Linked DNA regions of Xenopus tropicalis. The protein of the gene in region 2 interacts with the protein of the main gene of each other region in a biochemical or structural test. Links are inferred from orthologs where the notes say so. Each region holds a gene or a part of one and is shown on either strand. Other genes may lie near its edges. The genes, in order: ube2w and rnf4.

Region 1 (4,564 bases), on a different chromosome or scaffold from region 2:
TGTGTACCAATACTACTTACATACTATGCCTTTGTAACACAGGTAAGAGGTGATTAAATAAAATTACAGACCTTCAAAAATCCTTCTCTTTAAAGGCTGGGTGGTGGCACTGTGTGTTTACTCTAATGGCTACAATATTTAGAGCATATCAAGTCTTATATGTTTCAATTTTTACATTTTTATTTTGTAGTTATGTTGCTCTTGCTTTTCTAAATCTAGTTACTGTGATGTTTATTAACAAAGGCTAAGTGCCTACCGTACCAATATTGTAAGTGGATAATCTCCTTTTAAGAACCAAGAAAGGTTTGGTGTACTGGCCAGAAGCATACAAACTATACAAAGCATAGTGTCCCGGGAAATCAGCTGGGTTATCTTTTCTAGACACTGGTCCTGACTGGCCCTCTTGTTGGTTGAAACATGTCTATTCGGCTTTAAGCCAAATTCTGCACATCACAATAAACATTTTTTATTTACACTACAAGATACTTACAACATATTCTACCTACATGACTAACTTTATTTAACTCAAAACCTTGAAAAAGTAAAAGCATTAACTCCCACATAAAAGGATCAGGAAAATCACCTGTGTTTGGGGCCCGGAGGAGGAAAAGCCTGTATGCTAGTTCTGTCATTTACCAAGAGCCTTCAGCACAACCTCTACCATTACAACACTGTTCGGCAGGAAACATTTATTAAAAGGGACATATAAAGTACTGATCACTGTTTTATCAGATGCCCTTTTCCTTATAATATATGGCACCTGAGCTGAAGGGGTAACTATAGTGAAAATTATAATGTAATATAAACTACAAAGAATATATTGTTTTAATTCATTTTAACTGTTAAAGATACTTTCTATATTGAAAGGTACACAGATCAATGCACAAACTTACTTTAGATACAAGTAAGTAGTATCCTTGAGATCAAAAGAGATCATTAATTAAACTTGATATAGAAAGAATATGATCAAATAAATGACATTATCAAGAAGTCAATATGACAAGAAAGGTAATTTGCATTAAAGCGGTATTAAACACCAACCTTAAATAATTATATGGATAATGTACCAGGTTTATCAATGACTAAGCTTCCAAATAATTTAATAATAAGGGTAAACAGGTAATGTCTCCTTCCAACTAGAACAGACTATTCCAACTGACTGTCAAGTATATAATTTCCAAGTGTATGAGCTGCCACTTGACTATCCAGGGTGTTTCAAACCCATGGAATTTTCAATTGACTATAACGCAATGAGGTTCTTAGCAATTCTAAATATTTTGTTACCATAACTACTGCAGTGAACAGTCTCACAGGTCAATCCAATATGGTATCCAAATGAATCAAACAATAGGCGCTCAGACGCTCAAGCCTTACTGCTTTGCAGGCTTGGCGCATCGATCCCCAAAAGGTGGAGCCGTTTATTCACATAATCTTAATAATGAAGAGGAGATCACAACAGGCACAATAACTGCTTAATGAATTTATTTATGTCTATTACAGAACGTAATATGTGATAAACAGCACACAGGGGCCTTGTAACAGACATTAATAGATTCACTAAAGTTATTCTGTCCATAGAGCTCTTCTCTACATTATTAAGATGGTATCCAAAATATCAGCCAAACAGTCAGATAGCTGTATAAGGGGGTCATAGATGTAACTGCTACCTTTCTCTTCCTCTGCTCGGAACATCAGTAAGTTAAGAGGAACTCTGGCTCTTCATCTATGCACCATACACCGGCCAACTTGATGCATCGGCATATGAAACTTTCCAACCTCCGATGAAAGAACCAGTTGATAGCCATGATACATAGATACCAGTCAGGGCTGCATACACGTACTGATAATCCCACAAATCAGTGTAAGAATCAAAATACAGGACAGATCATGTCTAATAAATGTCAAACAACCATAATATTTATTTTATGGCCCTACATGGAGAAAACAAGGTAAGTGAAAAACAAAGTCAATTTTTGCACAAAGTATAAAGAGGAAGTAAAATAACAATCCCAATGATACACAGGAGTAAAGGGAAAATGCCGGCTTGTTCTGTCTTTTTGGAAAGGATTTGAATAAACTGGATAATTACTGCCCAAGTAAAAGAACTGGAACATAACAGGGACTTAATGTCCTACACAGGGGGAAGGGGATGCAGTATAACCAGGCATTTCCTACCCTACACAATAAAATGGAACATGCTGGGTGATTCATATCCCACACAATAAAATGGAATATGCTGGCTGATCCCTGCCCTACACATAATAGCAGCCAGTTCCTGCCCCAGATTCAGCTATAAAATAAAGTACTTATAGAAGCCCTGACCCACCGCACAGAACGTTGAAGGTACAGAGGAGAATATGTAATGTTCCCAATGAGCTGTCAAGCCTATGGGTCTCCAGCTATTATCAAACTACAATTCCCAGAAGCTACGGCAGGCAAGGCTATCGATAGGAAGGGGGGGTGTAAAGTTAGCAGGCTGGCACACCGAGCGTCGCACCTCCCACACCAGCTATACAGGTGAGCTGCCAAGCCGCATCCCCACGGAGACAAGGGGAGCCGTTCTGAGCGGAAGGTTCCCTGAAGCTGGCAGGTAATTGCAGAGGACACAGATAGGGAAGCCAGAAAAGAATGTCAGGAGTAACGAGAAGCAGAAACAAACCCACAAACCACGGCTGGCAGTGCTCTCCATAGAGCCCACTTCCCACTCCCGGTAATATTCCGCTGCCAGCCGCGAAGATCCGGGTCGCTCCGCTTAAAACTCTAATAACACTCACCTGCATTGACGCCATGATGGAAACCCACCCCCTCCCTCTTGGGCGACGCTACCGCTCACGTGACTCTACGTCATCTACAAGGAACTGCCTGCGCCCTTGTGAGAGTAAAGCTGCGCAGGCGCACTGGCTCAGCGCTTGTCCTTCTGGGCATGCGCAGTGCGGCATTAAAGGCAAATATAGTCTGTGTGTGCAGGACATGGACTTGTAGTGATTGTTTCGCTGCAACCTGAGCTTGTGTTAAGCTGGCCATACACGTGGCGATATGAGGATGATGGTCGCACAAAACATCGTCAGATCCGCCACACACAGTCAGGGCTGAAACAGCAGATAAGGAGGTAGAAACAATAGGATTTCTACCTCCTTCTGCCGATTCAGCCCTGACCGCAGATTTTGCTCAGGCGCCTTCTATGGTGCCCGATCAAAATTTTCTAACCTGGCCGATCGGCGAGTTGTCCGATATCAGCAGCTTCCTGCGATATCGGTTGACATGCCGACATGCCATACACGCACCGAATATCGTACGAAACCTCGTTTCGTACGTTAGTATCGGTGCGTGTATGGCCAGCTTTAGAGCGCTGTTAGGTTTAGTCACTGCACAGAAGAAGAGTTGTTGCTTAATGACTGCTTCAGTCAAAAGGAAATAGGTCAGTGTAACTCAATCATTTCTGACAGGGATAATTTATGTAGCCGCTATTTGGCTATAAAATAGTCAAACCCAGGCTAGTATAGGTATTAGAGCATGGGCTACATGTGACTCTCTTAAACAGGATGGGCCTTTGCTAGATGGAAGTGACCAGCAGAGCTAGGGTGTAGTATAACTACAACTCACTGTAGCTGTCTGCAATGCAATTTAGTAAAGATAGACGCAGGTTCTTGCAGTTAAACTATAGCACAGATTTATTGTCAAAGACAAGTAGCAATGCAGGGTTAGATCAAATACTCACCAACAGATGGTATACGATAGTAATACTCTGAGGACAGAACAGCTGTTTATCCCACCTCCTTTAGAGTCTGGGCAGGGTAAATGCACCTGGTCAGCTTGGCACCCCTTTGGAAGCAGTCAGGATAGATACCTCAGTCCTCAGTTTTTTTAACCTGTTTTCTGCTGAGATCTTAATGACGTATCTGTGGTTAATTTAGTGTTACATTTTCTGCGATTATATTACTGGCATGTCTGAGTTTAAGGCAGTTTTTCGAATCCATTTTCTGAAGTGATCTTTCTGGCATGTCTGAGGGTCTAATGCAGTTCTTTGAAACCATTTACTGCAGTGATCTTATTAGCATATCTGGGGTTATTTAAATGCATATAATCTATTAACGTCAGTGATCTTACTGAAATATCAGATGTTTGTTTAGTGTTCATAATCATTTTCAGTTGTGCAGTGCTTCTTAAGTCTAAAGGGTGCTGTGTATGGCAATGAGGATGTGGTCTTATTTATAGGGCCCTAAGCTTCACAAAGTGGCAGCATGCTTATGCAATAATCCTCTATAAAGCGTTATCATTTGCATCATCTTCTGATATGTGCTGCTGAGTAGATGTGGATGCGCAAATTAGTGACATGCATGTGCAATAACATTATATCCCAATATCCCATACATAACATGCGACTCTTCTACCCTGTTGCCTTAGTTTTTTTACCTTTCTTTCTTTAAAGGAGAAGGAAAGGCTAAAATGTTGGGACCCCCAAGTGACTTTAATCGCTTACCTTGTACCCGGGCTGGTGCCCCTGTTAGGAGGAAACAGCACCAGCCCGGGGTACCTGGAGCGCTTCCTGCTTCGTTTCGCTGTG
Region 2 (4,474 bases):
TTGACACTAACTGCCAGTATCCAGAGACCTTTACCACCTTTGCTTATGTCTCACTGCTGATTTCTTTTTAGATTGTAAGCTCTCTGGATAAGGGTTGGCACTTCAATTGCAGTTGTTTATACAGTTAAATACTTTATTTCAGCTGCAACCAATGAATGAATCACCAACAGGTTTCTCCTTCTCTAATTGGCAGATTCTAGCATGAGTCAGAAATTTTCAATGTTCTACTGGTTGTAAGGAAAATGAACTATGTATTTCAAAGACTACAAAAATGAATAAATAAAAGCTATTTGTGCATAAGAATTACTAATCATTGACTACAATTTGGAAGGGGAAATGTTTATTATAATAGCAGCAGCAGTACCGCTATAACTTCTGTGAAAAGATGGAGGTATATTAATAATATCAAATACTGCCTACGAGATAAAGAAACATATAATAATGGGGCTGTCACACAAGTAGGAGGAATTTTGGTGACAGCTGTGCATAGGTGGCTTCCAGTGACTGGCCCAATGTCACATTCAATAAGTGCTGTCCAACTCTATGTAGCGTGCCTACTACATTTTTAAAAGCCACAGCATCATTCCTGTCACTGGCTTCTGCTCCCCAATGGGGCCCACATTATGGTCAGTGGATTCCATGTGTACCTCTCTCTGTGCCCTCTTCCTCTCAGTGAGCTGCACATTTCCCTCAGTAGGCTCTGCCCCCCATGTGTCCGGCTGTGCTGCGTCTCCCTCTCCTGTCAGTAGGCTCTGCCCCCCATGTGTCCGGCTGTGCTGCGTCTCCCTCTCCCGTCAGTAGGCTCTGCCCCCCATGTGTCCGGCTGTGCTGCGTCTCCCTCTCCCGTCAGTAGGCTCTGCCCCCCATGTGTCTGGCTGTGCTGCGTCTCCCTCTCCCGTCAGTAGGCTCTGCCCCCCATGTGTCTGGCTGTGCTGCGTCTCCCTCTCCCGTCAGTAGGCTCTGCCCCCCACGTGTCCGGTTGTGCTGCGTCTCCCTCTCCCGTCAGTAGGCTCTGCCCCCCATGTGTCCGGCTGTGCTGCGTCTCCCTCTCCTATCAGTGCCCATGGGGCCCTCTCTCCTGGCAGTGGGCTCTAGCCCCCCCATGGGGCCCTCTCTCCTGGCAGTGGGCTCTAGCCCCCCCATGGGGCCCTCTCTCCTGGCAGTGGGCTCTAGCCCGCCCATGGGGCCCTCTCTCTCTCCTGGCAGTGGGCTCTAGCCCCCCCATGGGGCCCTCTCTCTCCTGGCAGTGGGCTCTAGCCCGCCCATGGGGCCCTCTCTCTCCTGGCAGTGGGCTCTAGCCCGCCCATGGGGCCCTCTCTCTCCTGGCAGTGGGCTCTAGCCCGCCCATGGGGCCCTCTCTCTCTCGGCAGTGGGCTCTAGCCCGCCCATGGGGCCCTCTCTCTCTCCTGGCAGTGGGCTCTAGCCCGCCCATGGGGCCCTCTCTCTCTCCTGGCAGTGGGCTCTAGCCCGCCCATGGGGCCCTCTCTCTCTCCTGGCAGTGGGCTCTAGCCCGCCCATGGGGCCCTCTCTCTCTCCTGGCAGTGGGCTCTAGCCCGCCCATGGGGCCCTCTCTCCTGGCAGTGGGCTCTAGCCTGCCCATGGGGCCCTCTCTCCCGGCAGTGGGCTCTAGCCTGCCCATGGGGCCCTCTCTCCCGGCAGTGGGCTCTAGCCCCCCCATGGGGCCCTCTCTCCTGGCAGTGGGCTCTAGCCCCCCCATGTGGCCCTCTCTCCTGGCAGTGGGCTCTAGCCCCCCCATGGGGCCCTCTCTCCTGGCAGTGGGCTCTAGCCCCCCCCATGGGGCCCTCTCTCCTGGCAGTGGGCTCTAGCCCCCCCATGGGGCCCTCTCTCCTGGCAGTGGGCTCTAGCCCCCCCCATGGGGCCCTCTCTCCTGGCAGTGGGCTCTAGCCCCCCCCATGGGGCCCTCTCTCCTGGCAGTGGGCTCTAGCCCCCCCCCATGGGACCCTCTCTCCTGGCAGTGGGCTCTAGCCCCCCCATGGGGCCCTCTCTCCTGGCAGTGGGCTCTAGCCCCCCCATGGGGCCCTCTCTCCTGGCAGTGGGCTCTAGCCCCCCCATGGGGCTCTCTCTCCTGGCAGTGGGCTCTAGCCCGCCCATGGGGCCCTCTCTCCTGGCAGTGGGCTCTAGCCCGCCCATGGGGCCCTCTCTCTCCTGGCAGTGGGCTCTAGCCCCCCCATGGGGCCCTCTCTCCTGGCAGTGGGCTCTAGCCCCCCCATGGGGCCCTCTCTCTCCTGGCAGTGGGCTCCAGCCCGCCCATGGGGCCCTCTCTCTCCTGGCAGTGGGCTCCAGCCCCCCCATGTGGCTCTCTCTCCTGGCAGTGGGCTCTAGCCCCCCCATGTGGCTCTCTCTCCTGGCAGTGGGCTCTAGCCCCCCCATGTGGCTCTCTCTCCTGGCAGTGGGCTCTAGCCCCCCCATGTGGCTCTCTCTCCTGGCAGTGGGCTCTAGCCCCCCCATGTGGCTCTCTCTCCTGGCAGTGGGCTCTAGCCCCCCCATGGGGCCCTCTCTCCTGGCAGTGGGCTCTAGCCCGCCCATGGGGCGCTCCTGTTGGTGGCTCTATCCCCAAAGAGACCCTGGGAGGGCTCCGGGAAACCCTCTCCTGTCAATGCTCTCTGCCCCCAGTGGGGCCCTCTCTCCTGTCAGTGAGGCCGGAGTACCCCTCTCCTGTAGGCTCTCTCGCCTGTCAGTTGGCTCTAACTCCTATGGGCCCTCTCTCCTGTCAGTGGCCTCCATGCCCCCCTCTCCAGTGCCCTTTTTGTGGGGAGCTCCCGTTTGTATCAGTTTACATACCCCCAACCGTTCCGCTTTTCCCGGGACAGTCCCGTTTGTTTCAGTCCCGCCTGCAGTCCTGGATCAAAGCTTAACAATCCCGCAAGCACAATAACAGGCAGCTTCACGGCTCCATCCGGACAACTACTGATCCAAACGGCACAAGTCTCTTCTCGCGAGAGTGTGACGTCACACAAACCTATCGAAGCGCCGGGACGCTGCGTAACCCCGCCCCCTTGTGGGAGGGGCGAGCGGCTGGATAGTTACAAACACTGGGAGGAAGTTCTCAGTGTGTCAGGTTCAAAATTGGCCACGCCCATCCCTTCCAAAAAACTGATCAGAGAAACAGGCCTAATTTAGCAGCTATAAAAAGTAGCTTTTTACAGTGTCAGTTTTACTTTTTTATGGGAAATGGCTTTGCTAAGAGCATTGTTGGTGTTTAATAAGATTTGGACATAACTGTGACAGCTGGAGTGATCTAATTCCTGTGTGAGACAGGGCGAACTCCTGGCGGAAGCGGTCTTTACTGCCCTTATGGGACCCAGGAACTGACTGGGAACTTTGTAAAAGATTACTTTTGTTCAAATTCACCCTGTCTTCTCCTAAATCAGCTCTAGTCCTGTCCCTTAAATGTGACAAATCTAATTCCTGTTAATATAAAAACATTGAGACCCTGCTGCCACTGTGACAAAAGGAGCCTAATAGCCCAAGCCTTGTTTTGGTCCATTTTACCCAGTCTTCTCCTTAAAGGAACAGTAACGCCAAAAATGAAAGTGTATAAAAGTATTTAAAATATAATGTACTGTTACCCTGCACTGGTAAAGTAGTGTATTTGCTAGAGTTACAGTACTATAGCTCATATAAATAAGCTGCTGTGTGCACTGCTGAGCTGCCTCCTATTCACAACGACAGTTCCAGTATGACTGACAGCTGGATACACCGCTGAGCTGCCTCCTCTTCACAACGACAGTTCCAGTATGACTGACAGCTGGATACACCGCTGAGCTGCCTCCTCTTAACAACGACAGTTCCAGTATGACTGACAGCTGGATACACCGCTGAGCTGCCTCCTCTTAACAACGACAGTTCCAGTATGACTGACAGCTGGATACACTGCTGAGCTGCCTCCTATTCACAACGACAGTTCCAGTATGACTGACAGCTGGATACACTGCTGAGCTGCCTCCTCTTAACAACTTTGCTGTCTTGTATAAAAAAGGGCATTGACTCAAGGGATGAGAACATAATTTTGCCCCTTTATAGGTCCCTGGTAAGGCCTCACCTTGAGTATGGGGGGCAGTTTTGGGCTCCAGTCCTTAAGAAGGATATTAATGAGCTGGAGAGAGTGCAGAGACTGCAACTAAACTGGTAAAGGGGATGGAAGGGTTAAATTATGAGGTGAGACTGTCGAGGTTGGGGTTATTTTCTCTGGAAAAGAGGCGCTTGCGAGGGGACATGATTACTCTGTACAAGTACATTAGAGGGGATTATAGGCAGTTGGGGGATGTTCTTTTTTCCCATAAAAACAATCAGCGCACCAGAGGTCACCCCTTTAGATTAGAGGAAAGGAGCTTCCATTTGAAGCAGCGTAGGGGGTTCCTCACGGTGAGGGCAGTGAGGTTGGGGAATGCCCTTCCTAGTGATGGGGTAATGGCAGATTCTGTTAATGCCTATAAGAGGGGCCTGGATGAGT

Evidence for each region.
Region 1: the proteins of rnf4 (region 2) and ube2w form a complex in vitro, tested with the Homo sapiens proteins (2 studies listed by BioGRID). The link is inferred for Xenopus tropicalis from reciprocal best matches to the Homo sapiens genes RNF4 and UBE2W.

The regions. Positions count from the first base shown.
Region 1 is NC_030682.2:121,373,666-121,378,229, forward strand, and holds the start of ube2w (ubiquitin-conjugating enzyme E2 W), read right to left. Parts: upstream 2,833-4,564; 5' UTR 2,790-2,832; coding exon 2,775-2,789; intron 2,738-2,774; exon of another isoform or gene 2,690-2,737; coding exon of another isoform or gene 2,660-2,689; intron 1,875-2,659; exon of another isoform or gene 1,668-1,874; intron 1-1,667. UniProt on the Homo sapiens protein: Accepts ubiquitin from the E1 complex and catalyzes its covalent attachment to other proteins.
Region 2 is NC_030677.2:21,716,878-21,721,351, reverse strand, and holds the start of rnf4 (E3 ubiquitin-protein ligase RNF4), read right to left. Parts: upstream 2,851-4,474; 5' UTR 2,803-2,850; intron 1-2,802. UniProt on the Homo sapiens protein: E3 ubiquitin-protein ligase which binds polysumoylated chains covalently attached to proteins and mediates 'Lys-6'-, 'Lys-11'-, 'Lys-48'- and 'Lys-63'-linked polyubiquitination of those substrates and their subsequent targeting to the proteasome for degradation.